Linked DNA regions of Schizosaccharomyces pombe. The gene in region 1 interacts genetically with each later gene. Each region holds a gene or a part of one and is shown in the gene's direction. Other genes may lie near its edges.

Region 1 (7,628 bases):
CATGGTACGTTAAATCAACTGGCGGCACGCCATCTACTCTTGTAGATTTGGGTATACATGCTAATGTCGCCCTCGCAAAACGTGGTATTGATTTGGGCTCTCTCGCCAAGCGTGCAACTACTACTGTCACCACTAGCACAAGTGATTCTATTACCCTGAGGGGAATCAAGCGTATTTCATATATGATGGGGATTGAAACGACGAATTTCTTTGCTACTGGGTTTTCCTTTTTTATTATATTGTTGTTCTTTTCATTACTAGTTGCTATGGCTTCTAGATTTATTGTTGAAATGGTGCTCCTTGCATCCAGAAATCAAGCTTTGAAAAAGCAACGTATCCGTCTTTATTGGAAATCTATATCCAAAGGATTTTTCTATCGTGTGATTTTTGTCGGATTCACTCAAATGAGTGTTTTGTCCATGTGGGAAATCTATACTCGTGATTCTTCCGCTTTGGCATTTTTATCAATGTACGTGATTGTGGACATGGCAGTTTTGCTCTGCTATGCATTTGTGCGGACAATTCAAATTATCCGCAAAACAGGACCTTATTCCCATCCTGACGTCTTGTACAACCTATATTCTGACACTCAACACTTGATGCGTTGGGGCTTTATGTACGTGCAATTAGACGTCCGTTTCTTTTACTTTACTTTCCCACTGTTGCTTATAACCTTGGTACGCTCAATGTTCATCGGTTTTGGTCAGGGCTCACCCAAAGTCCAGGGCTGTGCCATGTTTGGTATTAGCGTTGTCGTTTTTGCTCTTATGGTGATTCTCCGACCTTATGCCACTAAACACATGAATACTTTGCATATCGGTGTTGCTTTAATGAATTTGATAAGTGGTTCTTTTATTTTAGTGATGTGTCAAGCTTTTTATGTGGAGGAATTAGCTCGTCAAGTTATTGGCATTATATTTTTTGCATTGAACGCTATTACAATGCTTCTTTTGATCCTGGGTATATTTATACGTACACTTATCGTCCTGTTCCGTAAATCAGGACATGGTACTTATTACCGTATCCTCGATGACCAAAGCGAGAAGGCTACCTCGTATAACAAATCTATTAAGGATATGAGCTCTTCCGACATGGCCTTCTCTGATCCGGCTTACTCTGGAACTACGTTGAGAAGCTCCGTTGACCTTAATACACCAGAATATCCGTTTTCGAATCGTAATGATTCAGACAGTACGTTCACAAATAACAAATATGTTTCCCCTTGGGACGCTATCGAAGAAGCTTCGTATGCCAACCTTCGTGGAAATACTGACGTCGAACAACCATTTATGGAATCAGATTATACCCGCATCTCTGAAAATAATAACAACGCTGAACGTCGACGCAAACCATTACCTAACAATGCTTTTCGTTAAACGTGGATGGAAAATGTTGTGTCGTATTACATATATATTACATTCCATCTACCTTACACATTCTTTCATTATTATACAATTGTTGTCTCTGAGATTTTTTTAAACTATAATTTTCTACAAAGTTTGGGGTAAAAGACCTTTAAAACAATTCACACAAGCATTCTTACAATGAACTCGACGAGGAGGTTCAATAAGCAATCAATGTCTAAATCTTATTTTTAGACAAAAGTCAACTATTTAGTGTATTCGCATCCTTTTTTTTATTTATGGTTCTTTTTTTAATTATATTTCAGAATTTTCCCTTCATTTCTGCTTCTTTTCTTTTATTCCATAATTGTTATAGTGTATAGGTTTAGTTACCATTTAAGCATATTTGTTGGATGTGCATCAGAAAGCAAAAAAACTTCACCCGTTTGATTAAAATGCAATTTAGTAAAAAACATTTACTTCTGATTCAAGTTACTTCTTCACGTCTTAAGATAACTGATAATAGAAAACGACGTTTATTAACATTTTATTGAAACAATCTATAGACACCGGTAAGAATAAATCCATAAGCCATTCCCAAAATACCGAATCGTTTAAGCTTGTAATTGGGTGTATTCAAAGGAATTCTAGATTGCGAATAGGCATATATTCCTAGACCTGTGAAAGCGCCTGCGCCCACCAAGCGGCATGGCAAGCAATCGTACTGTTCAAACCTTGGATCGTCTAAATCGACGGGTTTGGGAGTTTGTTGGAAACTTGATGATGGCATCATCGAAAGCTATCAGTTTAATTTATAAACTATAAAAAAAAAGTAACCGCGTAAATATATATGTGTATAATTAAGAGGCCACACAGCTTTCAACCACTTTCACTTTATAAACAAGATTAAAGCACTAAAAGGTAAAGTTTACTCAACCCGCTTTTTCTTTTCTTGTCAACTACAAAATGAAATGTCAGCGATCAATAATACGGTATCCAATTTGATAGATGTTCAATAATAACGACTCAGGACTTTTTTCTCTTTCAATTTGTGGGAAATCTATAGGGCGCGCTGTTCAAACTGTTTAATATATTGGTCTTATGTTCTCCAGTACTGAAATGAATCAATGGCAAAAGTTAAAAGAGACAAAGTAGTGAGTTAAGAGCTAAGTTATAGATCTACTGAAACCGTCTGTTTTATTTTAACTATGAAGAAGAATAAAAGAGGCTAAAGTTACATTTCATTTTTGTATATTTGTAGATCTGCTACCGGATCAATATTTTTTTGGGCGATATAATTTTAGTAAAATTAAAGTAGGATTTTATTGATCTCGAGAAATAAGAGAGCAAACAAAACGACGATAGAAAGAAAGAGCATCGTAATATTGCTTTATTACTTCAATCTGACATGTAAAATTATTTTTCGGCACCAAAAATTGCCGCTTTTTGAATTTAGGAATTCATCTCACATTTGCATTTTACAAATAGAATGCTGTTTAATTTTATGAGTATACAATTATAATTATAGCTATTTATACGAAGCTTTGCTTCTTTATGTCTCTTCCAAAAGTTTCTATATTCCTGCTATGTTTATTATTTATAAAATACTGAAATAAAGTGTGTACGTTAAAATAGGATAAGCGGATTAAATGCGTTCCGTTATCTTCGAATATTATGACTAAACTGAATACGTTAACGAAATTTTTCCGCTGGTTTCTGCTTTTTTTGGCGTTTGTGATTCAAACAAAAAAACGTCTGTTGACATCAAGTCGGAGTGGAGACAATCTTTTTGTAATAAAACTGTTTTAATTGCACTTTACACTCTGTACAGGCTCAGCCTCGTCCATACATACTCAAAGGGTTCATCTATAAGAGCGCTAGGGCAAAGTAACGAGATTTAGTGAAGTGTAGTAGCGTCTCCTTCTTTCCTTTCGTTGTTACATGAGCCGCTGACAGCCTAGTAAATAGCTAACCACTGCCACATCGAAGGAAAGAGCGGTGTCAGAATTTGAGTCGAAAAACGTTTATTTACGTCGAAATTTTTCTGTCTAGAGCAGGAGAAAGTAAACAAATCTAGGGATGGCGACAGAACTTCGCAGAAAGCTCGTTATTGTGGGAGATGGTGCATGTGGTAAAACATGCTTATTAATGTAAGTAAAAATGGTGCAAGCGTCGGAAAGGTAGTAGAAGGGTAAAGTAGTTGCTTGGGCCTGTTTTAAATTGGCAAGGGTTTACATCTCTTGCTTAGCATGGCTGGAGAAGAAAATTATTTCCGTAAGCATGTTCATTGCCTCAAGAAAATAATGAAAGAATCCCCATAGAAATGAGACTTAGATGGGGTTTAGATTACATTTAATAAATGTTCCGAGGATTTAATTTGCACTCCGTACCCTGTATTTCTACTTACTCTTTGCTTGCTTATCTGCAATGTTTCACGAGTCTGTGTCATTGTTATACAACTTCTAACATTTTTCTTTATAGTGTATTTTCTAAAGGAACCTTTCCCGAGGTCTATGTTCCCACTGTTTTTGAAAATTATGTAGCTGATGTTGAGGTTGATGGACGCCACGTTGAGTTGGCTCTTTGGGATACGGCTGGACAAGAAGATTACGACCGTCTACGTCCCTTGTCATATCCTGACTCACATGTTATCCTTATTTGCTTTGCTGTTGATTCTCCCGATTCTCTTGACAATGTTCAAGAAAAATGGATTTCCGAGGTTCTCCATTTCTGTTCCAGTCTTCCTATTTTGCTTGTCGCTTGCAAGGCTGATCTCCGTAACGACCCAAAAATTATTGAGGAGTTATCCAAGACTAATCAGCATCCCGTCACCACAGAAGAAGGTCAAGCAGTAGCTCAGAAGATTGGTGCTTACAAATACCTTGAGTGTTCTGCCAAGACGAATGAAGGTGTTCGTGAGGTTTTTGAATCAGCCACTCGTGCTGCTATGCTCAAACACAAGCCCAAAGTGAAGCCCTCTAGTGGAACTAAGAAGAAGAAGCGTTGTATCTTGTTGTAAACAGCTTGTTTCCAAATTTTTTAACTTAGAGAATTTATCTTTTCTGTTTTTATACATCTCTTCAGTCGAAGCACATTCAACAAGTTTCCGTATTTTTTCGACTTATGTTGATTTTTATTTCACCTTCACCTTGGTGGGAGTTTTGCATTGTGTGGCCTATCATGTTACATAGTCATTATATCCTCTCATTCTTTCCTTTTTACTTACCTCAAGTCGTGCCATTTAGTCAGCTTGGCAATGATTTAAGCGCATTTCATATAGCTGTTCTACCATTTCCCCTCACTGTTCTGCAACGTATAGGCACCTGCAAGGAGTATGCGTCTTGTTTTCAGTCTTTGCTTACTTTGCTATACTCTTCGCTATTAGTTTGAAGAAAATTTCCCTTATTGCCTTGTTATTGCATGGTTTTATTTTTCCTATAATACCTTGTTTCTTTTGTTAAGGATTGCCATCATTATTATCCTTTCTACCTAGTCAAAGGACTTGGTAAATTTTTATAAATCGGTAATTTAAAGAATATACACCTCGATTGAAACTCGATCAAAACCCGAATATTTTATAAGCTTTCTCACAGCACGTAATTGCTTATTATCGTGGAACTTTAGCTGGGTCTCCAATTTTGCACTAGAATTATTGTAGAAAATTGAAGCGACATTATCTCTGTTGATAACCTTGCTGGTATACAGGCGCTTGGTATTTTTATACACGTTGATAGTCGAAGTAGCAGATAGCCGTAGTTGATGGTTTAAACATTTTGTATTTTGCGGAAATTTGCACACTGTTTATATCTCATTCTCTTTACGTCAAGCATACCAATGTTTGCAATTTCATGTTTTGAAGGTGACCGTTGTTATTCTATCTATGCATTTGTATTACCATTTGATTTTCACTCTGTCTACAGGCAAGATTATCAGATGAAGATATAAGCATTGTTGACTTTACCTAAAAAAAAGGATAATTGCGAGGGAGCAAATAGTGAATTAAAGGGAAAAGAACAAAGTTTTTGTAGCTACTAAAAGCTGTTTGTCTATCTCTATGTGTACCTTTTATAGTGCTTATAAGTAAAATGCAGAGTCGAAATCTTCATGCTTTAATGTAAAGCATTAGTAAGGTTACATATTACAACAGAAATGGGAATCAAAATCTTAAATCTAAAAGTTGAGAGGTCTTAACAAAAAAGCTAACTCAACTTAGCTTTACAATTTATAAATCAAGGAAACAATACTTTATCAATTGTATGTTATGATCTTCTCCAACAGGTAATTGACAACATCAAAAAGTAATATAAAGAACAAGGGGAAATTGATATCTAGATATATTAGAGAAATTAGTAGTTCAATCTCATAGAGCAGGTTGGTAGTCGGGTTGGACCGCGTGTTTAATTTATGTAAACAGTCGCGTCGCGTTGCAATTGAGACGCGTAAATAAATATTTAATTTATTACATTCAGTCGTAAACAGAGTATTTATAAACACTTTTTTTATGTTTAATAAAAGATAAATGTAACAGTTGAATGTATTGTATCAGGTCAGACCACTTCAACATGTTTAATCGCGTTTTTTTAAAAAAATATTTTTTTAATTTTTAAAAGTCGGACTTATTTTAGCGGAACTTTGATGTTCAGAAGTGAAAAAGATAAATCTATTTAGCAAGTCTTAATTAACGTCTTTTAGATATAGTAGAGCTACAAAAATGATCCGGTTTCCACTCTTAGCTTTATTTATTTACATTGATCAACATGACTTAAAGTTCGGATGACGCGACGCGGCATCACGTTATATTAGCGTGACGCGTCTGAACGCGTTTTTCATTTACTATAAATATTCCCGGTATTTACCACCTTACAAACTAGAACAAACACGATGTTTGTATACAAAAGAGGTATGAAACAGGAAATAAAATACAGTTAGAAGATTAGTAGAAATTTTGTTACAACGTTGCCGTTTCGAAAAATGTCGTGATTTTACTGGGGAGTAAATGTTTAAAGAAACTGAGATTTTTCTATTTGTTTAAGCGTGTCATTCAGTATTCACTGTTTGTTGTGTGCAGAGATGTTTAAGCAAATGTTCTTTTAGCCGTTTGCTCTACTTCCAAGTGTTCGGTTGATTGCTGACAGATTCGTTGCTGGTGGCGTTGTATTCAAAATTGACTGACTGTTGACATTGAATCGAAAAGCAATAATGTACTAACTGTATAGACGGACGTCAAGAGAAAGTGGCCTTTGACAAAATCACTGCTCGTGTTTCGAGGCTTTGTTATGGCCTTGATTCCGATCATGTTGATCCCGTCGAAATCACTCAAAAAGTCATTTCTGGTGTGTATCCCGGTGTTACCACTATTGAATTGGATAATTTAGCTGCTGAAACTGCCGCGACTATGACTACAAAGCATCCTGATTATGCTATTTTGGCTGCTAGAATTGCTGTTTCCAACTTGCATAAGCAAACCGAGAAGGTGTTTTCAACTGTCGTTCAACAGCTTCATGACTATGTAAATCCCAAAACAGACAAGCCTGCCCCCATGATCTCTGACAAAATCTACGATATCGTAATGAAACACAAGGACGAATTAGATAGTGCTATCATATACGATCGTGATTTCACTTACAATTTCTTTGGCTTCAAGACTTTAGAGCGTTCTTATTTATTGCGTATCGACGGCAAAGTTGCTGAGCGCCCTCAGCATATGATTATGCGTGTCGCCGTTGGTATCCACGGTGAGGACATTGAAGCTGCTATTGAAACATACAATTTGATGTCTCAACGCTACTTTACCCATGCTTCACCAACTCTTTTCAATGCCGGTACTCCTCGTCCCCAACTCTCTTCTTGTTTCCTCGTTACGATGAAAGACGACTCTATTGAAGGAATCTACGACACACTCAAGATGTGTGCTATGATCTCCAAGACCGCTGGCGGTATTGGTATTAATATTCACAACATTAGAGCAACCGGTTCGTATATTGCTGGAACTAATGGTACTTCCAACGGAATTGTCCCCATGATTCGTGTTTACAACAACACAGCTCGTTATGTTGACCAAGGAGGTAATAAGCGTCCTGGTGCCTTTGCAGCCTATTTGGAGCCTTGGCATGCCGATGTTATGGACTTTTTAGAACTTCGAAAGACTCATGGCAACGAGGATTTCCGCGCACGCGAAATGTTCTATGCCTTGTGGATTCCTGACTTGTTTATGCAACGTGTTGAACGTAACGAGCAATGGACCTTCTTCTGCCCCAATGAGGCTCCAGGTTTGGCAGATGTTTG
Region 2 (7,624 bases), on another chromosome or scaffold:
TCGTTCCTTACTCTATTCATTAGTCGCGCAGAAATTTTAAAGCAATCTGGCACTGTAAATCAAAATGAAAAAGAAGAATGGTACGTTATACATGTATTTACAGCATCTAACTATTTAGGGAAAATACATTCAATGTTATGTTTAATCGCGTAAAAGGTCATTTCTCGACGGTATTCCCACCACCTAACGCTCGAGCTTATGCTGATGAATCTTATCCATGGGAATTCTTAGCAGCTTGTGCTACTGCTGCTAGCTCTGAACAACATTTTACATTGGTTTCTGAAACTAGGTACGTTAAAATATGTCTAGTCGAGTTTTTGTACTAACAAATATGTAAAAAATAGGGACAGAGTACTTGATAACATCATTACTAGCAAACGGGCACCTTCTGAAATTGCTGTTGTGCGCATCAGCAATGTTAATTTGTTTTTAAATGCAATGGGGCTCGACGCTCGTCAGCTCAGCGCTTAAGTTTGTTTATAAGATATGCGGGTATTTTTTTTTTCAAAAGCTATATTTGCTGAGATTCCTGGATTCAGATTTATTAATTAGAGTATTCCCTGCTACTTAAAAAATGCATACGCTCTAATATAGATTTAAGTAAATTATGTCCTTTTTGAAAACGCTGAATATGAAATAAAATGTATTGAACGAGAAAGAAATTAATATAAAAAACGATAAGTATATAGACAAAAAGTTTATAGCACATATTTAATAGATTTGTGCATCAATAATACTAGCTGCCATTTTGATTCGTAGTTCAGGCATATCATTTTGACTAAACTGAACAGGAACATTTCTAGATACACATTCAGCAGTTTTACAAGCAAAAACTCCACAATCATGTCCATTTCGTTGTCTTGGAGAATTGTCATCCATAAAATTTTCCCAATCTGACACGTCGACGGCACCTTTTGTTTCTGCAATATAATAGTCGCGCAACAAATCAAAAACTTTACCAGGGCTTCCGGCCAGCGAGTCCCAGTATTCAAATCGTTTCTTCGATTTGTTAATAACAGCCATACACCAGTGGACATCCAGATGTACTGGTATAAATACAGCATCCATATCTGCAATATTAACGCGTGCCTTTTTGGCCCATCTTCGAACACCCGCGTATCCACGGCGCTGCAAAGATGTATAAAAAAAAGTATTAAACCCATGTACCCGAGGTAAGGATGAATCAATTTTAGAGCGTTCCGAAATCAAATTCATGTAAAAATTAATTACCTCGTCATTTAACCATTGTCTATTCCGCAGAGTATGCAAGTCTTTAAGCGTGATTGGAATATTAAATTTGGTGATGATGGGTTCAGAAGAGGAAACAGAATTGCTTTGGTTTAAATATTTCAGTGCACGCTTTCGAGCATTATCAGGAAACTCAAGTTCCGGAATGAACTTGGGGCGAGTGGGGGGTGGAGATATTTCCAAACCTTTTAATTGTAAAAAGTCAACTTCGTTCCAATCTTGAAAAGATTCTGTTTGCTTTTCTTTCAAATCTCGAATTAGCAACAGTAATGATTTTTCATTTTGGATATCAGAAGTAACGATATTCCGCGCTGGTTGCTGATCAGATTGAACGAACCTAAAAGAGGCTTTCCGAGACGTTGAATCATGAGGACTTTTCTTTCTTAACGTAGCCGTAAAAGGAAGGTGTTTATATCTGGCGTGTTCGCTAACAACATCTAGCTGCTTGTCCGGTGTAACAATGTCAGAGTTTGGATTTGGAGAGGAGTTCGTAAAGTGCAGAGGAGAAGAAGAGAAAGGTGTAGGATTAAAAGAGTTTATTTCGTCAGCCTCAACGGAATTACCGTGGGATAATGTCGATGAAGTTGTTTCCTTAAAAACCGCAAGCTGTAACCGATTACTAACAGATAAATTTTTGGAAGACCGATGAGGTCGGGGGAAGTATCTCGAACGAGACACACGAAAGCTTGATGGAGATAATGCTTCGTCATGGATGTTTTGAGAATGCGTGTCAGAGGCAGGGGAAAATAGATTTTGAAGAGCAATGGGATCCAAAAATTTTTCATCCTTACTAGAATTTGTATATGAATGAGAAACGGTAGGTTTACTATTTCTGTCAAGAGTATTGTGAGAAGACATATCAGATTCGACCGTCACGTAACCACGTTCAGTCTTGGAATTTATGTGAGAAAACCGAGATTCAGGGGCTTTAGTAGAAGGCTCTAGTTTTGAATTTGTACTATTACTATTAGATGGTATCGCCTCGCCAGCGATGCGATCCAATTCAGAAATGGGAGTTTTTGTCAAAAAAAGTTTTGCATAAGTAACTGTACGAGAACAAATATTAACAAACGTGTTCAAAAATGTCTTTTTACGTTTCCTTTGATACTCTTCATATGTAATACAATCATCCTGACGCGTCCTTTTTGACGCATTGCGTTTTCCTATCATTCACGAGTGAATTGTAAAGGGTGAATCGCGAGAGGCTGTGACACACAACAACCTGGAAGGATGAGCGCGTTCTTGCTTACGTTGTGAAAATACCTCGTTATACGAGTATTGCGGTATTTACTGTAAACAAACTACTTTTTGTGTTTATATTACAATGTTTGGCTTTCGAGCCGCTAGCTTTGCTTGTAAGATTTTAAATTATGTTGCTTAACATGTAAGTGTCCGTTTATCTTTAGGGCCTACTGTGTTTGATTTCATTACACTAAAATCCTACTTCAATGTGGGCTATCACTACTTTTAGCCGTGAGAAGCTTACAAGTATATTAATGTAAATTAAATATCATATTGCTTTTATAAAATATACATTCATGACAGTACACTGTGTTACTCTTTTAAGCGTTTAATAAGTAAGTGGTAGCGTATCGCTACTAGTAAATTGTTTTAAGTTCTGATATATGCCCTGAAAATGAAAAGATAAATCGGAAAATGTGAGTTAGTTTTATACAAACCATTTAACACTTCCTGAAGGGATCTTTGAATGAACAGAAAGCCCTATATTCAGGTTATCCTTCAAACAATCATTATTTCCTAGATAGAAAAGAGTCGTACATCAGCAATGAATTTCCTCAATTATCGCCGGGGTTTTTTATCATACTACGGCTCATATAACTATCAAAAATTAGCATTACCAGTTGCTCTTGATTCTTGTTTTTCTCGATTTTGAATTTTTTGTTATGCATTGTCTGTTAACTATGCGTGAAATATCTGTTCTTTTAGAGATTCGTTTGATTTTTAGTAAAATAGTATTTACTTGCTTTATTTCCCTTTCTTCTGCTGCTCAATAATCTGATATCTTGCTATATTGTTTTCGTTTGAATTCAGTCTCTCTTCTATATTTCGTATATGTATGTTGCGATCAATCGTGTGTTATGGTTTCAAAAATTCAAAAATTCAAAAAAAAAGCCTTCTGCTGTAAGAATAAACATATTTTAGGCTTTCGTAAGTGAATTTTAAGTTGAAAATACCAATTTCAAAATTAGGCTATTAAAGTCATTTTAGTTTTTACTATTGTAATCAAAATGGAACTTTTTTACAACAGATACTAGCTTTAGATGCTTGGCTATCAATTGTAGGCTTTTGATTTTAATTCTATGGAATGGAAACAAAAGTACATTTTTTGGCCTAAAATTAGATTTTTATATAATAAAATATTATTAATTTCATTGCTATAAAAAGTCACTTAGCAGTGTTTAAGCGAGTGCTTAAAAGATTTTATTTAGCTATCTAGATCTGACATTGCTGCACTGAACCAACCTGTCTACCATTTGGTAGATTCAACTTCCCATAACCAGCACCAAGCCAGAGGAACTCACTAAATGTAAGAGCATGACATCCCCGTGTACGCTAATACGGCAATTTTCTCCTTTGGAGATACGTCCGTTACCACATTTGGATTTCCAAGCTGGATTTAATGGGATACCAACTTCAGCTCCAAGGTTGGTTGGTATCGTCCAAGTTCGAAGTAAAGAAATTCACCAACCTTTGGCTTTGGTTCAAATAACGTTAGAATTATGGAAAATTGAATCAGTGGTAATACCATCCTTGGGTATAAGTAATCACTTATCAGATAATAAGTGTCTGGCAAGGCAGGTTTTGTTTCCACTTCATTCCGAGCATCCTGAAAATAACATACCTCCTAATGATAATAATTATTCTATCAGCGATTTGTCTATCAAATCACCTCCACCCTCCCTTACTAGCGATTGGATAGTAGATTCTTATGCGTCTGATCAGGATAATCCTTCTGTTCATACTCATAACCGTACTACTCCACCTATCCCTCCACCTCATCTTCCTAATGCCTCTGGATCTTCGGTATATCAACCTCCTTACACTCCGTTTAGATCAGTATCCACCACATCTTCCTCTAATGACACATCTATCACTCCTTTTGGTGACCAAACTCCTATACTCTCTTCTTCTTCAGATCCTTACGCTACTCATAGGGTATGGTCAATGGACCTTCCCTTTGAAATCCCGTTTCCCGAAAATTCAGAAATTCCATCGACTTTTGAATTGAATCGGTCTGGTACAATATGCTCCACGAAATATGAACTACGTGCTCACATGAGTTTACTAGGGGTACCGGATATTACTACCACTGTACCAGTGTCACTCAGCAGGTATGATAATCTATCTTCTTGGGGGATGTATAATTCCCCTACTAATATTCGGCAAGTGAGTAGCGATGGTCGTGTTGTAGTAGAGGTATCAATACCCAAACTGTGTATTGGACCTTCGGATCTCGTCTCCGTCTTCGTTTCCATCATGCCTAATAATGGTTCTAAAATACGAGTACAGCAACTTTCTCTTTCCTTGGTTGAATACATCACGTTCATACATCCCTCTTCTTCAAGCCCAATAGTTCGTAAAAAGAAAGTATTACGTTACGAAGAAGATTTGGATGATATGAAACTTACATCGGAAGGTTTATCGAAAAGCCTTTCTAAACCTTTCCCCGACATTGATTTTGAAGATGCAAATATCACTGGATTCACGACCACCTCTGATCTTTACTCTGTACAATACATGCTAGTCATCAAAGTACAATTATATCGTGCTAGAAACATTGAAATAACAAACCCAATTATTGTTTCCCCAGTGGAACGATCACGAAGTCAAGCCTTACTTAATGAAATTCAAACCCGAGTCCTTGACGTTCGCCAAAGCCACGGAGGCGTTGTCCTCGAAGAAAACGTTAGGATTGTGCGAGCTTCAGATTTTTCCAAAAATAATATGTTTGCTTATTTGAATGATGACATTGTCCTGTTATCTTAGGAAGTTACATTTTTCAAGCTCAATCTGTGCTTTACTACAAATGTAAATCCCGATATTGTTGATCATAAGCCTTACCTCTGTATTTCCCTGTGTTTTTCGATATTTGCAAGCCTTTGGTTTGCAATTAAATACCCACTTTGTTTATTTATTTGTCCCTCGTTTTTTTGTTTGGTTTCAAAAGCTATGAGTAAAAATAATGGTCTTCTTGTTTTTGTTTTGTTTTAAAAAGTATTCCTGTTCTTCGACATCAAATCAATTTCTATTGAATATGTCTTCATTGTTTTATTTATTCACTAGATTTAGCAAGTGGGACTTTTGGTCACTATTTGGTTGCTTTTTTGTACAACTGACTATTTATTTTAAATTGTGTCAACAGTTTAAATCTCACTTTATTCAGAGTAGGTTTTAGTTTAATAAAAACAGCTTTAAACCTGCTTATATAATGTACTACTTTCCTTTTTTATGTGGTTTGAATATCACATCGGCTGCACTTATGTCGGCGTTTCCACTTTCATGTATGTGGCTTTGAAAGTAAAGATGTAGTAAGCATTTAAATCTGAGTAAGGCTTAATATATATAACGATTGCATTTTGTTATCTAATAGCCCAGTATACGGTTACACTCTTAAATCAGTTACAATTTTATTAGATATTAAGCTCATTGTGAGTAAAATTTTTCCACACCTCTTCCTTAAGTTTGTATAATCCATTCTTATAGTAGTATAACCAGAAGTAAAAGTTTAAAATATTAGCAATTAAATTTCTTTTGAGGAATGAAAATACGAGATCATTATCAAAGCGTTTAATACCCACTTAACTTTCCATCCACAAAATATACGTTTCAATCCAGGTATTAATATCTATATATTATTGACTACTTTATCAGGAAAAAAGATCAAACATCTTTAATTTTTGAGATTTCAGAAGCTACTGTACCTTATGCTAAACAAATGTTCTGGCTCTTTAACACTTTTAGCTGTTAGAAGATTTTGTGGTCCTTGCCGACGTTTACATTATCATAAAGATAACCCTAATAACATTAATATTGCTAAAAATCTCCTGAACAATAATATACAAGCTAGATGCTCAACAAATGAGGCATCTTGGAAGTTGGCACAGAAAGAATTAGATCTGAAAATACGTGAATACGAACAAAAGTTAAAGGATGTTAAGCTAAATGACATAAACAAAAAGGTAAAATATTTATTAAATAAAGGGTTTGAGTACAAAATAACACTGCTAAAAGATACTGTCTTGTTTACTAACGTTAGCATAGTCTCCCCTTAACATTCCTGATGAAGTTTGGACTAAATTTATATCAGAAGTTAACTCTTATGATAAGGAAAAAGAAAATCATTTATCTACAGGTAACCACGAATTGAGGAGAACAACTCCATTGAAAATTGGACCACTTCTACTTACGAGAATCGGGCTATTGAAATCTAAGAACACAGCCAGCAATAATTATTCAGTCGATCATATTGTTTCAAATCTAGCTAATGACAATACGTTGTTAAATCGTCAGGTTTCTACCGAAGAATGGAACAGTCATCTTCGCCATCTCTTAAACATTCCTAAATGCTTTTTAGGGGTTGATATTGTAGAAATAGTCAACTTTTTTAACTATCTTCCTCAAACTGTTATTTCAAAAAGTTCCCTAGAAATTTGGAAAGCTGTTGAAGAAAGTGGTATGAAAGTTATGCCTGATTTGCTTGTCTTGCTTATGGAATCCACCAACGCATCTGGCGATTTCCGTAAGACTGTCCAATTGTATCATTTGTATCAAAAATCAAATGCTCCTCCGAATGGTTTGGTGTATCAATCATATGCTATTGCACTTTCTTCCCTTGGTAAACACAAGGATTTAGTTGCACTCTATTCAGAACAAAAATCAGTCTCAATCACCCCATCAAAGGATTTCTTAAATGCCTGTATCAAGGCATTTTCTCGAACCAAAGAATTTACAAAGGCGTGGGAAGTTTTCAATTTTATGAAATTTACAGCAACTAGCATCTCTCCGTCGGCTGAAACATACGGTCTTATGATTCAAATATGTTCTTCTCAGTATAATCCAGAAAAGGCACTTGACTTATACAATGAGATGAAATTAAGACCAATTGATCCATTAACCCCTACAACGTTCGTTATTAATAATTTAATTCATGCTTTAGCTACCGATGTTCGTTTTCAAACAGTCGCTTTTTCATTGCTTCAGGATCTTTCGCATTATGGTTTACGTCCAAATCATTCTACACTTTATGAGTTAATACGTTTAATTGCTTATAGTGGTAAACTTGACTATATGAAAGACATCTTGGATAATTTCTGGGTGAGGCAAAAATTACTGCCCTCGATACTCAAAGTTGAAC
Region 3 (8,285 bases), 4.0 Mb from region 1:
CCATCAGTCTGGACTCAATGCTATTGCGTGGTTGTGTCCTTAGGAATACAAAATGGGTGATTGGAGTTGTCGTATTTACTGGCGATGATACCAAGATTATGCTGAACTCTGGTGCTCCGCCATTAAAGCGTAGTCGCATTACTAGAAATCTTAATTGGAATGTTTATCTTAATTTCATTATCCTTTTCTCCATGTGTTTTGTTTGCGCAGTTGTCGAAGGAATCGCCTGGCGTGGTCATTCTCGCTCCTCGTATTACTTTGAGTTTGGTTCCATTGGTGGTTCTCCTGCCAAAGATGGTGTCGTCACGTTTTTCACTGGTGTTATTCTTTTTCAAAACTTGGTGCCCATTTCGCTTTATATTTCAATTGAAATCGTTAAGACCATCCAGGCAATTTTTATATATTTCGACAAAGACATGTATTATAAGAAGCTAAAGTATGCTTGTACTCCAAAATCTTGGAATATTTCTGACGATCTTGGACAAGTGGAATATATCTTTTCTGATAAAACAGGTACTCTTACTCAAAATGTTATGGAATTTAAAAAATGTACGATCAACGGAGTTGCGTATGGTGAGGCATTTACCGAAGCAATGGCGGGAATGGCAAAACGCGAGGGAAAGGATACTGAAGAATTGACTCTTCAAAAGCAAAGTTTCATTGAACGTGACCGAATGCAAATGATTTCTCAAATGCGAAATATGCACGACAACAAATACCTTGTGGATGATAACCTCACGTTCATCTCGTCGCAGTTTGTTCATGACCTTGCTGGCAAAGCTGGTGAAGAACAGTCACTTGCATGCTATGAGTTTTTCTTGGCATTGGCCCTTTGTCATAGCGTAGTTGCAGACAGAGTTGGTGACCGGATTGTCTATAAAGCACAATCGCCAGATGAAGCTGCACTCGTGGGTACCGCCCGCGACGTTGGCTTTGTTTTTTTGGACCAGCGGAGAGACATTATGGTTACTCGTGCTCTTGGAGAAACCCAAAGATTCAAATTGATGGATACTATTGAATTCAGCTCAGCGAGGAAGAGAATGAGTGTGATCGTTAAAGGACCCGATAACCGTTATGTGCTTATTTGCAAAGGTGCTGATAGCATTATTTTCGAACGTTTGGAACCAAATGAACAAGTTGAATTACGTAAAACCACTTCTGAGCATCTCAGAATTTTTGCATTGGAAGGTTTACGAACACTTTGTATCGCAAAAAGAGAGCTTACTGAAGAGGAATATTACGAATGGAAAGAAAAGTATGACATCGCCGCATCTGCAATTGAAAACCGTGAGGAGCAAATAGAGGAAGTTGCCGATTTGATTGAATCTCATCTTACTTTGCTCGGTGGAACAGCTATTGAGGATCGATTACAAGAAGGAGTACCTGATTCAATTGCATTATTGGCTCAAGCCGGTATCAAATTGTGGGTTCTGACCGGAGACAAAATGGAGACTGCTATTAATATTGGTTTTTCTTGCAATTTATTGGACGCTGGCATGGACATGATTAAGTTTGATGTGGACCAAGAAGTGTCAACACCAGAGTTGGAAGTTATTTTAGCTGACTACTTATATCGTTATTTTGGTTTGTCTGGATCAGTTGAAGAACTTGAAGCTGCTAAGAAGGATCATGACACTCCCTCTGGCTCTCATGCGTTAGTTATTGATGGATCAGTACTTAAACGAGTTTTAGATGGTCCAATGAGAACCAAGTTTCTGCTACTTTGTAAAAGATGCAAGGCTGTCTTGTGTTGCCGTGTTAGTCCGGCTCAAAAAGCAGATGTTGTTCAATTGGTACGCGAAAGCCTTGAAGTAATGACGTTAGCCATTGGAGATGGTGCGAATGATGTTGCAATGATTCAAAAAGCTGATATTGGTGTTGGTATTGTTGGTGAAGAAGGCCGTGCTGCAGCTATGTCTGCGGATTATGCAATCGGTCAATTCCGATTTTTGAGCAAGCTGGTTCTTGTTCATGGCCGTTGGGATTATAATCGTGTTGCTGAAATGGTAAACAACTTTTTCTACAAGAGTGTTGTATGGACATTTACTTTATTCTGGTATCAGATTTACAACAATTTCGACGCAAATTACCTTTTCGATTATACTTATGTTATGCTGTTTAACTTGATTTTTTCATCGTTACCTGTCATTGTCATGGGTGTCTATGATCAAGATGTTAATGCTGATTTGTCGCTTCGGATCCCTCAGCTTTACAAGCGTGGTATTTTGCAATTAAATTCAGCCAGGAAAATCTTTATTGGATATATGCTTGATGGGTTTTATCAGTCTGTAATCTGTTTCTTTTTCTCTTTTCTTGTGATTAACAATGTGACCACAGCTGCTCAGAATGGTCGTGATACTATGGCTGTACAAGATTTAGGTGTTTACGTTGCTGCGCCAACTATTATGGTTGTCGACACGTATGTTATTCTGAATCAATCAAATTGGGATGTGTTTTCAATTGGTTTATGGGCGCTCAGTTGTTTGACATTTTGGTTTTGGACTGGCGTCTACTCTCAAAGCCTTTATACATATGAATTTTATAAATCTGCTTCGCGTATATTCAGAACTCCAAATTTTTGGGCTGTTTTATGTGGAACGATTGTAAGTTGTCTTTTCCCGAAGTTTTTGTTTATGACAACGCAAAAGTTATTTTGGCCATATGATGTGGATATCATTCGCGAAAGTTACCGCACTAAACGCCTTCATGAATTGGATGAAGAAGAGGAGATTGAGAATGCCGAACAATCTCCAGATTGGGCATCTTCTACTTTACAGGTCCCTTTCAACGCATCTTCGTCAAGTTTGGCGACACCCAAGAAAGAACCTTTACGTTTGGACACAAATTCGCTTACACTCACATCAAGTATGCCAAGAAGCTTTACCCCGTCATATACTCCAAGTTTCTTGGAGGGCTCTCCTGTGTTCTCTGATGAAATACTTAACAGAGGCGAATACATGCCTCATCGTGGTTCCATTTCTTCTTCTGAACAGCCGTTACGGCCTTAAAAAATGGCAAGTTAATAAGCTGAATTATCTAATCAAGATAATCTGTGTACCCATTCTATTTCTACGCTATGCTTAAGAACATAACTTTTCATACTAAAGAATGATGAATTATCGAATAATGATTATGATGTTATAGAAACATCTCTGCATACTAAATAAAATACATGAACGTTTACATTTTTCTTCTGAAATCAAAAGATTGCATCAAATTTAAAATGTATTTTGCATTCACAGTACATTTTAAAAATAACGAGATAAATTTACTATATCTAGTTTACATTTGTATGATAAATAATAAAAACAGACTTTTTAACAATCTTGTTCTAAGTAGTAAATTTGGTGGTTGGTTTTTTAAGTTTTGAAATTTCCAGCGACTGCTGTAATCAAACTTTGGTTGCTAAGGGTAAATGGCTGATACCTAACTCCGATGGAAATGTACTCTGCCGTAAACAAAACACGTAAGGTTATTATTGACAGGAGTTTTGCATTTTTTGGGGACCAAAACGTTGGATGTTTACGATACATATTTAAAGAAAACTAATAATGAATCGTGTTAATGATATGTCACCAGTTGAAGGTGATTTAGGACTTCAGCTAAGTTCTGAAGCAGATAAGAAATTTGATGCATATATGAAGCGACATGGTCTTTTTGAACCCGGCAACTTGTCGAATAATGATAAAGAAAGGAATTTGGAGGATCAATTTAATAGTATGAAGCTTTCCCCAGTGGCATCTTCGAAGGAAAATTATCCTGACAATCATATGCATTCAAAACACATTAGTAAGTTACCGATTGCAAGCCCTATTCCGCGTGGTCTTGATAGATCTGGCGAGTTGAGCTACAAGGATAATAATCATTGGTCAGATAGAAGTTCAACGGGTTCACCAAGATGGGAAAATGGATCTATGAACTTGTCAGTTGAAGAAATGGAGAAAGTGGTCCAACCTAAGGTAAAGAGAATGGCAACCATTTGTCAAATGTTCTTTTTAGACCATTACTTTGAGCAGCTTCATTATCTTTATACCCGCAAGCAAAGAGCCCGTCTTTTTGAAGAGCAGTTGCTTAAAGAGCCTGATTCACGAAGAGACGAGCTAGTGAAGCGATACAATGGACGTGAACGAGTATATCTAAGGAAAAGGAGGACACGCATTAGTCACGGAGATTTCCAGACCATCACTCAAGTCGGACAAGGTGGATATGGCTCTGTTTGGTTGGCTAGGAAGCGTGACACCAAAGAGATTGTTGCTTTGAAAATCATGAATAAATCGGTTTTGCATAAAATGGATGAGATCAGGCATGTTCTTACTGAGCGTGATATCCTTACGACAGCCAACTCGGAATGGTTAGTTCGTCTACTTTATGCTTTTCAGGATACTTCAAACATTTATCTCGCTATGGAATTTGTTCCTGGTGGTGATTTCCGTACTTTGCTTAGCAACAGTGGTGTTTTAAGGGATCATCATGCCAAGTTTTATGCTACAGAAATGTTCCTAGCTATTGATGCTTTGCATCAACTTGGTTACATCCATCGTGACCTTAAGCCAGAAAACTTTTTGGTTGGAGCTAGCGGCCATATTAAATTGACGGACTTTGGTTTAAGTTCTGGAATAATCAGCAAAAAGAAGATTGAAAGTATGAAGATTCGTCTTCAAGAAGTCAACAATGTCGTTGTTCCCGAAAGGAGCATGAGGGAAAGGCGACAAGTGTTTCGAACTCTTTTATCTCAGGATCCTGTATACGCTCATTCAGTAGTTGGCTCTCCTGATTATATGGCCCCAGAGGTTTTACGAGGTGAAAACTACAACCACTCTGTAGACTATTGGTCTCTTGGCTGCATCATGTATGAATGTCTTTCTGGTTTTCCTCCATTTTCTGGCTCCAATGTTAATGAAACCTGGTCTAACTTGAAGAATTGGCGCAAGTGTTTTCAACGCCCTCACTATGATGATCCCCGCGATTTGGAATTCAACTGGAGAGATGATGCATGGGATTTTGTATGTCACTGCATTACTGATCCCAAGGATCGCTTTTGTTCTCTTAAGCAAGTCATGCAACATCCTTACTTCTCAAAGATTGATTGGAAAAATGTTCGTACAGCATATCGTCCTCCGTTTGTACCCGACCTTAATTCTGAGATTGACGCAGGATATTTTGATGATTTCACTAATGAAAATGATATGTCTAAATATAAGGAAGTTCATGAGAAACAAGCTGCAATTGCTAATATGGTTAACACATTTAATAAGCCTAAACGCAATGCTTTTATCGGCTTCACTTTTAGGCATCAAAAAAATAGTCATCCTACTAGCTCTAGTAGCGCATTATCTAGTCCCCTCTCTGCTCCTTCTTTCGGGACTCTATTATAATCAAAGGGAAATTTAATGACCCTTGTTCATGGTATTTTTATAAGACATCTACTGTTATTAACTATTTTCGAAGATACTGAGCTTCGCTTTTGATGTTTTGACATTTACAGTACTGTCTTTTACTATTGCATTTCACTTTCGAACGGCATTTACATTACAATTTGCGAAAGTTATCACTTTAATTTTATGATGTTTATTTGGAAGTATCCTTTTTCATTATATTATATTATATTTTTATTTATCTTCCACTATTTTATTCGTCAATATTCAGCTTTCGCCATTTATATAGAAGAACTTGCAATTACCAGATAAATTATGTAAATCATTTACTTGATAGGGAAATAGACACTATCTGCAATTTAATATCTTGAACCATTTTTACTATTTTGGAAAATTTTTGTTTTCGTGTATTATTTGTTGTTTAGTGAGCTGTAAGATATTCGTTTTGTTGGCAACAGCAGAAGAGCTGTAACATTCATCAAACTGCGATACCTCATTATCCTCGTTTCTTACTGCTTTCCTCCTAAAGCGTCTACCTTTTGCTCTTTATTTCACTCGTAAATTAATCTGTTAATGAAAGATTCACATAGCTCTCGGAGGAAGTATGAGAAGGAAAAGTTGGTATTCGCAACGAATAATGGAAAAAGAACAGAGGGTACCCCAGCTTTTTTAAAAAGCGGTAACACAGCTTCTTCATCCTCCCCTACTCTTCAATTTCGTCCTACATCGAGATATCCGACATTGAGCCATGAACCAGTGTATACGAATGTTTTGGACCTGTCTTCAAGGATTGACGCGAACAGGGCTAGTATAATGAGCGCTACAATGGGTACTCCACCTTCAGCATTGAAATTCTCCAAGAAAAAAATATCCCGGCCTGTTGTTAGTGAAGATACCTTCAAAGACAAATTGCCGCGTGCAACCATACCGGTCAAGCCGGAGCCACAGCCACAGTATAAAATTCCAGCTGCACCTGCTCCTACAAGCAAACGTGTAGTTAACCGTGGGTTAAAGCTGAACACTAATTTGAGACAGGCTTCTCCTATTTTGCCTTCACCTAGTTTAAAGTTGGATCGGCAAGATGCCCCAATACAAATAAATCATGAGCAGAAAGAAGATTTTTTGGTTTCTATTCCGCGACCAACGCCAATGACCAATTTAGATGATGGAAAGGATGAGATTGGACAACCGGATCCTCATAGAAAATATATGGCACCTCCACGTGTTAATTCTATAAGTCGTGTACAGCGTCGTATGAGTTACATACCATACGGTGGGTTTGATGACTTCTTAGATAACTATTACAAGGATGACGATACTGTACTTGAAGACAATCAGCTTAAGAGTAACTCTCGAATAGAAACTTTGGAGGAAGAAGATGGAGCAGAAAGTGACTCCATCACAAATACAGTTTCTAATGCTTCGTCAGATGCAGAACCTGCTCATCGTCATTTGGGACCAGTTTATGAAAACTCTGGACACCTCCCTTCAAAAAGTCACTTTTCATCAACCGACTCGAATACAGATTCATTCGGGTTAGAAAGCGATGAACGTTCGCTTCCTTCAGTTTCTAATGACTTAAAATCATCCGAAACTTTGAAAAATCCTCGAAATGATGATTTGCTTACACTTCAACAACCACCTCGTTATCCACATTCTCAAATGGTAATGCTACCAGCTCGTTCTCCAGTTGAGGTTCCTGCTCCTACATTTGATCGTAGAAATGTTTCGAGGAACTCGAATAATAACTCTCCCGAAGGTTATGATAATAATCGCACAAACCCAACTGTTAATAATTTACCTTCATATCCTACAAACCTTGCACGTCCTAAGGCAATTAAACCAATGCCTACTTCTATACACGGTCAAACAAGTCCTTTATCGCCAATTCCTCCGGTACACACAACCCATGGGTTAGTTTCTGACATTCGTCCTCTCCCTTCTGTTTCTTCCCCGATAATGCGTGCTGATAGCACACCGATTTCACATAACTTAGCTGTGACACCTTCGTTTTCCCCTATTCCACAGCAAAGTAATAAGTCTATTGGTAATCACAAAAATACATCGGTTGCTAATGTATCATCCAAGGTTGCTAATTCCAAGTTTGAAAGGAATATATCTATGATGTCTAACAGTAATGCTTCTTCACCCGCTATTTTTGAAGTGGGTGCAGAAGCAAAAGAAAAGACGAAGGATGCGATTCCTTGTCATCCTGATGATAAGTTGATGATTCCGTCACCAAAAATTGTGACGCACGGAGACGCTATGCAAGAAGAACAGCGTCTTCGCCAAAAATCTCAAATCACACCTGATGACGAAGTTGAGTTGGCAAAAGTTTATTTGAATGCATTAGAAACTTTAGAAAACAAGCCGAGCTTAGCTCCCGACCAGGCTAGTTATAATACTCGAATCAATGTTTATCGAACCAGAGCTGTTGAACTTTTAAAAAAGAATGCTTATCCTAGCAAAACCCAGAATACTGTACCCGAAGCTCTGTTTTTAATAGGACAATTTCACAGTCAGGGGGTATTAGGATTTAGACGCGATTTGGGAAAAGCATTTGAGTTGTACAGCCTTGCAGCTAAAAAAGGACATCCTTTGAGTAATTACAGAGTTGCTGTTTGTCTTCAAACTGGTACCGGGGTTAAGCCGGACACTAGTAAGTGCGTTGCCATCTATAAAAAGGCAGCTGAAATGGATGTAGTCGAAGCTATGTTTCGTATCGCTCTGATTTACTTAAATGGTTTGTTAGGGCAAAAACGCAATATATCTCTCGGTGTGCAATGGCTCGAACGTGCATGTAAGTCTAAGGGGCCCGAATCAGTTAGAGCTATGTATGAACTTGCAAAGATTTATGAGCAACCGGATCGTTACGGAGTATCTGCAACCCCTGAAAGAAAGTTTGAACTT
Region 4 (7,398 bases), on another chromosome or scaffold:
CCATCATCGGCTTCTTCACCCAAGAGTAGCGTTTGGGGTATGCCGCCAGCAGCCTGCCAAGTGTCATAGCGTTTTACAACATTGGTAAGTTCAGAAATAGACATGCGAGAATATTGTTTGATAAATTTTGATTTCAAAAGTTCGGAAGAATCTAATCTCCTCTGAGGGACATCCTGCAAACAAGAGGCAATGAATTCTTTTAAAAGAGCACTAAAATTTCCATTGAGTCTAGGGGGTGCGGTGTGAGCGATTAGGTAAACGGCACGAAAAGGATCCTCTTTGGCATGAGGTGGAGATCCAGTAGCAATTTCATATGCAGTGATTCCGAGCGACCAAATGTCAGCCTAAACTTTGTTAATAATTTTGTGGAATAGGTAAAGGGCTATAAGTAATCAGCAACGAAACATACCATAACATTATATTCCTGACCATCTCGAATAACTTCTGGTGCCATCCAATAAGGCGTTCCAATAAACGTGATTCGCTTTCGGCGATTGATGTTTAGTTCGGCAGCAACGCCAAAGTCACATAGCTTGACATTTCCAGACATGGAAACTAGGATGTTGGCAGCTTTTATATCACGATGGATGATACCTGCATGATGAATAAATTTTAATGCCTGTAAGGTCTCTCTAAGGATCAAAGATATGCATGGTTCACTAATGGGACCAGCCTCCATCAAAGTACGCACGCTACCTCCATGACAATAATCCATTATAATCCATAAATTAGTACCTACCAAATAAGAGCCATGATACTTTATAATGTTTTCGACATCGGACTGTTTCAATTCACTAAGAACAGCGACTTCTTTCTGAATATCAGAGACTTCATCCTCATCGGTATCCAAATTAAGAATCTTGATGGCAACAGTCTCTTTCGTTAAATTGCAAATTCTTTAGAATGTTAGAAAATGTAGAAAAGAATCACTCGAATAATATTCATACCCTCTATAGACTGCGCCGTACGAACCGCGTCCCACCAATTCTAATTTTGTGTACGGCGAAGAAGCAGTGTTATTTTCCATTTCTAATAACTTTAGCTGCTTAGCAGATACATGAAGAATTTTAATTGAACAGGTTCAATTCAAACTCCTTCAATTCCCTTTCACTTTTTCTATACTGCTGGTGGTAGCGGGTACGAAGGAATTGAGTAGATATATATTGAAAAACTGTTTACTATAATACTCAATTTGTGCAATCCCTAAATAACAAACAACTTATTATACTATTTTTTTTCAATACCGAAGCTTTGCGAGGAAAAATACAGCAAATTTAGCAGGAGAAATGAGAATATCTTATCGAGTTTAGCGTAACGTAAAACTAACGATATCTTATCTGTATTTTTCTACTACGCTATGTCGTTAATCAGTATATAATCTGTAGTTATTTATATTTCCGTTCCGCAGCGGATATATATCCGTTCTTTGAGAGTAATTATCTTTAAGACTAAAATCCTTTAAAATAAATCGACCGAATTTTTGTTCCTCAGTTCAAATTGTAAACAATTTATACAGTTATAGTAGTACCCAATGTCTTGTTTATATCCAAGGATATTTAAAGCCCATATTCGTAAACCAACTTTACATAATGCATACAATCATATAAGATCCTTCTCACAATCTACATTTTACGGATTGCAAAATTTCCACTATCTAAGCTTAAGAGCTGAAAGCTTCTCACCTTACAAATATGCTGATTTTCGTAGTAAATAATAAAATGAGATGACATTACTTATTTACTCGGTCGATTTTTGAGAATTTGCGTAAAATACTAATTTGTATCTTAAGATAAAGATACTAAGTTGATTATGTAAATCCGAGTATGCATGGTTGTCTGGTGTGTTACGTTTAGTATGCTATCCATTAGCTTGTACACTGTTCTCCAAACCATTTCATTTTTTTTATGAAATTACCAATTGGTTTGTAATAAGTTGCTTTTTAGTTAATTTAACGAGCATTACTGTTGCTGCTCATCTTGCATGGCTATCGTTTCGAACCGATCATATAAAATATTCGACGAAACAATCGCATAATAGGAGCTAGTCAAAGAAATTTTAAATTTTTGTACAATTTCTTGAGGGCAGCTTAGTTTTGTTTGATGGGATGACAAATCCCGGTATTTACAGACTTTCAATTCAATGAATTGATTTGATGCGTCCAATACCCACATCGCTATTTTAAAAGTGTAGTAAATAAAAATAATGTAATGTATATTATTAATTTATTATTACATTGCCGAGTAAAAAGGGAGTAAAACGAGAAATCAATTGAAGGATTTGTATTTTCTTTATTCTTTCGTTTACTAATTTTTGTAGCGATGACCTATTTTAAAGGTTAGATAAAGTAAGTCAACACGCTGAGCTTAATTGAGATTATCGGTGCGAGCGATCGATTGTAACAATCAATCGCAACAATCAAATGATAATGTATTAAGCAAAAAAAGGAAACTTGAAAGAAATATAGAAATGAGCGACCCTTAGCTCTTCGACCTGGGTGAACAAGAGTCGTTGTACATAATAAAAATATAACAAAAAAGAAAACCCCAGACAAATCACAGTTTCAAGCATATTATACAATCATAGAAATTTGCATTACTAAAAGAATTTCTCTTAAAAGATTAATTATCTAAACATTCCTGTATATCGAAAATCGTAGTTGTATGTACAGAGAGACATGGTACTTTTATTTATCAATAAAAACAGTATACCAACAACCAAGGGGAGGGCATTCTTCATTGTCAAAACTCGTCAGTTTGACTTGTAAGAATTCGCAATTCAAATATTTCCTAGGAACATGACTTTCAACTCGTCCTTTAATGAGCCCACTTTGCACTGCTAATCTGGGATGGGTGGTATCAGCACACTTCCTACTGACACTAACGCTAATGTGCCATGATCGTAAAATTGCAAAATCTTCGCTATCGCAAGCAGAATGTTTGTTTTCTCCGAAGTGTTAAGGAATGTATCGAATCGTATGGTAAAATCATTCCATCATCCAAAGGTCAGTATACGATATTGGCACGCTAATGCGTACAGGACAATGCTAAGCCTCTCTCTTTACGAGTTGCTCGCTTGAACGACTTATAAATTCCTTTAAATTAGTAACCAAGCGAGTAGTTTGGTATTTTATTAGAGGATTTGCCTTCCCCGAGCATCCTCGGAAGTACCGGCTGTGAAACTGCGACACCCACCTTGCAATAGCTAACTAGTACTTACCAACCCCGTAGTGTGAACCTGCTTTGTACACAATACAACAAATAATTCTAAAAGCGCAATTTATTAAGTTAAGTTTACCCATCTAGTGGAGAACAGTGTTATTTGAGTTGAACAGAATTGTTATTCAATTTTAAAGAGTGTCAATTTATCGGTTACTTTTTTTTTACACATCTACAATTCTTTCATTGTATTTGGGTTTAAATCTTTTGTCTGTTATCTCATTTTCCTCATTGAATTCTTTTTTTTATTGTTTTCATTTGTTAAGTTTTTCAATTTTTATTACAATAGCCATTGTTCATGACTGTTGTCGTAGGAGTCCTACAGATTGACGATATGGGGAAAAAGTCATCATTCGCTAGCTGGTGGAAGCAATTGCGGGTTAAAAAGTCAGATGACAATAAATTGTTTGGTCTGAGCCTTACAAGGGCTTTGGAAGTATCGAAGGTCGCTATCTTTCTGACACGCCGAGACGGTGAGAAAGTATTTTATGGCTACATTCCCGCTGTCGTTGCTAAGTGCGGGTTTTTTCTTAAACAAAATGCTACCCAAGTAAAGGGAATTTTTCGCGTTAATGGTTCTTCCAAACGAATCCAAATTCTCCAAAAAGCTTTCAGTACAGGCCCGGATTATGGCCGAAGTTTTGATTGGGAAGGATACACAGTTCATGATGCTGCCAATGTTTTTCGGAGATTCATCAATCTAATGCCAGAGCATGTGATTCCTTTGGAGTATTATGAAAGGTTTCGTGAACCCATGACAATTCCCAATCTTACAGACAATGAGCGAGTGGAAATGTATCGTCGACGCATTGATGAATTACCGATTCCAAATCGCCAGCTTTTACTTTATTTACTGGACTTACTTTCCGTTTTTGCGATGAACTCGTCGAAGAACCTGATGACTGCTGATAATTTGGCTGCTATTTTCCAACCTGGAATTCTATCTCATCCTGATCACGAGGTTTACTCAAAAGATTATCAAATATCGCAAACGGCTCTTTTGTTCCTTATCAATCATCAAGGAAGCTTTATCAAAACCATTCCTTTGTCTTCACTACCTCCTCTGGTAGCTGCGCCTACTTCTCCAAATACTTCTTCTACTTTAATTACGCAATCTGCTGCACCTACTCCTATAGCCTCGACATCCATTAGGATTAATTCTTTTAATCCAAGAAATGGATCCATTAAGCGTTGGCGCTCTTTTAGTCGTCATTCTAGTGCCACTTATTCCAATAGTCCGAGTTCAAATTTTTCAAACATGAAAAGCTCCGAGGTGGATCCTGGTTCACCCCCAAGAATCAAATCTCGTTCGTATTCATTGTCTAGAAGCTCATCTATGAAGCTTTTCCATACACTTGATCGCCGGAGGGAAAATCGTATGTAATACTTTTAATTGTTTTTCTCTGTTTATCTAGTTTAATTGTCTTTGTCCTTGGTTGTATGGCGAAGAATCTTTTTGTACATATATACTTAGTTGTTACCGTCCGCTCTTTTAGTTTTATTGGGATTTGCATTTAGGCTGGATACCGCTACTGTCGTTTTATGTTTTTTTCTTTGTATTCAGCCATTTTCATTTTAGAAGTTCTACTTAACCATAGTAAGAACAAATTATCCAATTCGTTATTGTTTTTTGTAATTGTTTTTTGTTTTGGTAGATCAATATATTTATCTACATAGTAAATTTATCTGACAGCTTTCAGCTACTTTCGTAATTTTAAATTTTTATTAATTTGGTGTCCATATATCTGTACAAAGAAACTTTTATGAAAACAACAACGACATTGTAACCAGAAAGGATTTATCAATCTATACTTTATTAGGCTCCAAGGAGATCCTGTAACAATTGTAAGAGGCGCTTCTGATCTTCAGATAACTCTTCATCATTATTCACTGACAAAAACAATGGTATCTTCAGGTCTGCAAGGATTGCAAGCTGTTCTTTGTACATCCTGTTTGTCAATTGTACCACTTGTTCATCAAATTCTTGTAAAGCCCTATTGTCATCTAAAGTTTGAGCGGAATCATTGTTGGTCTGGTCATTAAGACAATTGGACGGTTGTTTCAATTTAGGGTCGGAGGAAAGCGGTTTCAGTATTTCTTGAAGCTTAGTTTTCGACTCAAAATGTTGAACTAGCCGCTGCCGTTCCAGAGACCAGTTGCGCTCTTGACGTTCCTGCATAGCCTTCATCTTTCTTAATTTTTGTAACTTTTCGGGATGGCGGGAATTTAGGGCAAAGATGTACCTCAAGGCAGCGGGATAGGTTTTAATTTTTTCTGCGTCCTCTATAGAATTGTTCAACTCAAAATCAGAGGGTTTCCGAGCCTTCGATAGAGGGATGGATGATTTGTCTACATTTTCAAGCTGATTACTCGTTACGTTGGAGGAGCTTTGAAGCTCTTGAAGCAAATCTGCGATTTTTTTATCCATTTGGAAAACTCATGAATTTTGTATGCATCAAACACATTGATATTCAAAATAATTTATCTAGCCCAAAAATAGTTAAAAGAAATTGAGAAATTAAGTACTAAGCAGTGGTGGAGCTGGGTTCGAGAACAGAATCCTTAGATTCAGATGTAGCGGTAGATGGTTCGCCGTTAGAGGTGACATCGGGCTTTGCATCAGTAACGGGAGAGTCATCCGTTTTGGAAGTTTCTTCGGTTTTTAATTTTTTTTCATTTTCGGGTTCGCTTTTTATGCCATTTGCAACTGGCTCTTCGGAAGCGTTGGGAATACCAGCAATGATGGAAAATTGACCACCTGCACCCGCTACACGGATCGCCACTTCCTTGATTGCCTTGGAACGAACTAATGTAGGAACAGCTACATCTTCATCATTATCACCTTGACCAACCTCGTAGTTTTCAGCAGATCCCCATGAATAAACCTTACCATCTGAGGTAACAGCCAAGTTGTGATGGGTACCACACACGACCTGTATAACATTAGTAAGTCCTGGGATTATAGTAGGGGTTGACAAGTAGTAATTGTTTCCCTTTTCATCTTTAACTACTGTTTCTGGAAGTGCATTATCCGGAATTCCTAATTGATGACGATCATCTCGACCCCAGGCTAACACTCTCCCATCTTCAAGTAAGGCTAGGGTATGATGTTCACCACCTGTAATAGACTTAACATTATATCCTTCTAAAGCATCAACGAGTGTAGGCTTTGTAATAACGGCGCCTTCTTCTTCATCTTCTACCTCTATTCCACATTGTCTGGTTATATTTAAGCCCCAAGCATAAACGCGTCCTTTGTTGTCAATCGCAAAAGAATGATACGATCCTGCTCCAACTGAAATAATATTTTTTAAAGCTAACGGTTGAGGAGTCAAGCCTTGAAGTCGACGACGTTCTAACATACGTCTACCCAGTTGAAACTGTTGACCATTACCCCATGTATATACTTTTCCTGTGGTAGTCAAGGCAATAATATGGTCCGTCCCTGTAGCTAATTGACAAATTTCGGGAAGTCGCATCTGCGTCGGTTCAGCTGTACGTTTTTGAGAATCGCTATACCCTAATACACCATCGGAACACTAGTATGTTAGCAAACGAAAAATGATAAATTTATAAAGCCATTTGTTCCAAAAGGGCGAAGGGAAATGATACAATGAGTCAATAGACTATAAACAACACTGCAACGATAACAGCACCTGAATTTGGAATCAAAGATCAAATGATAATTTTTCACGGCCAAAACAAATTACTTACACGGAAAGTACCCCAAGTAAAGCAGCAGCCATTGTCCGTTATTGCTGCAGTGAGATTGTCGCTACATATAACTTTTGTAACGCGTAGATGAGATAAAGCACCTTCGACCTTAGAAGGAGTTCCCTCTAGTAAATCATTGTCAACTTTGTCTCCATTCTCATCCTTTTGATCCTTAGTAAGACGACCAAGGGCATAGTCATCATTAACTCCCCAGGTGTATACGCGACCGTCATGAGAAAGGGCTGCAGAATGCATGCCGCCAACAGCCAAATCGACTACTCCTACTTTATCTGTAGATAAAATAGGATTCAAACGAGGACGATAAACGACATCCATTTCTTCTTCGCCCATACCTAGCTCGTTCATGGAACCGCTTCCAAAGACGTAAACGTTCAATCGTTCCGTAGGTAGTTCAGGTATCTTATTAATTCGCTTTGCGCTTCCTGGGACACGAACGGGTTTGGGTAGA

What was found.
Region 2: of rho1 (region 1) and art1, extra expression of one rescues a mutant of the other (dosage rescue), as found in Schizosaccharomyces pombe (2 studies listed by BioGRID).
Region 3: of rho1 (region 1) and sid2, extra expression of one rescues a mutant of the other (dosage rescue), as found in Schizosaccharomyces pombe (2 studies listed by BioGRID).
Region 4: of rho1 (region 1) and rga5, a mutation in one rescues a mutant of the other (synthetic rescue), as found in Schizosaccharomyces pombe (one study listed by BioGRID).

What each region holds. Positions count from the first base shown.
Region 1 is NC_003424.3:4,220,758-4,228,385, forward strand, and holds rho1 (Rho family GTPase Rho1), read left to right. Parts: upstream 1-3,313; 5' UTR 3,314-3,422; coding exon 3,423-3,493; exon of another isoform or gene 3,494-3,565; intron 3,566-3,728; exon of another isoform or gene 3,729-3,824; coding exon 3,825-4,362; 3' UTR 4,363-5,067; downstream 5,068-7,628. Other genes in the region: plasma membrane TRP-like calcium ion channel Pkd2, read left to right, coding at 1-1,376; protein tam6, read right to left, coding at 1,891-2,136; ribonucleoside reductase large subunit Cdc22, read left to right, coding at 6,225-6,243, 6,560-7,628. UniProt on the Schizosaccharomyces pombe protein: Involved in the regulation of cell wall growth and actin cytoskeleton organization. Activates (1,3)-beta-D-glucan synthase.
Region 2 is NC_003423.3:2,361,911-2,369,534, reverse strand, and holds art1 (arrestin-related substrate adaptor for RhoGEF, Art1), read left to right. Parts: upstream 1-3,721; 5' UTR 3,722-3,804; coding exon 3,805-5,256; 3' UTR 5,257-5,720; downstream 5,721-7,624. Other genes in the region: pdc2 (topoisomerase II-associated deadenylation-dependent mRNA-decapping factor), read left to right, coding at 1-80, 119-289, 345-471; SUMO deconjugating enzyme Ulp1, read right to left, coding at 712-2,418; PPR repeat-containing protein Ppr3, read left to right, coding at 6,195-6,449, 6,532-7,624.
Region 3 is NC_003424.3:219,119-227,403, reverse strand, and holds sid2 (serine/threonine protein kinase (NDR family) Sid2), read left to right. Parts: upstream 1-3,450; 5' UTR 3,451-3,551; coding exon 3,552-5,375; 3' UTR 5,376-5,710; downstream 5,711-8,285. Other genes in the region: dnf2 (phospholipid-transporting ATPase), read left to right, coding at 1-3,008; cfh1 (chitin synthase regulatory factor-like Chr3), read left to right, coding at 5,949-8,285. UniProt on the Schizosaccharomyces pombe protein: Part of a signaling pathway. Required for initiation of medial ring constriction and septation.
Region 4 is NC_003423.3:2,483,294-2,490,691, forward strand, and holds rga5 (Rho-type GTPase-activating protein Rga5), read left to right. Parts: upstream 1-3,241; 5' UTR 3,242-3,513; coding exon 3,514-4,599; 3' UTR 4,600-4,916; downstream 4,917-7,398. Other genes in the region: PAK-like kinase Nak1, read right to left, coding at 1-344, 410-896, 948-1,027; SPOM_SPBC557.02C (uncharacterized protein), read right to left, coding at 5,032-5,643; pim1 (RCC1 family Ran GEF), read right to left, coding at 5,741-6,754, 6,930-7,398. UniProt on the Schizosaccharomyces pombe protein: GTPase-activating protein for Rho1. Has a role in the negative regulation of (1-3)beta-D-glucan synthase activity and cell integrity.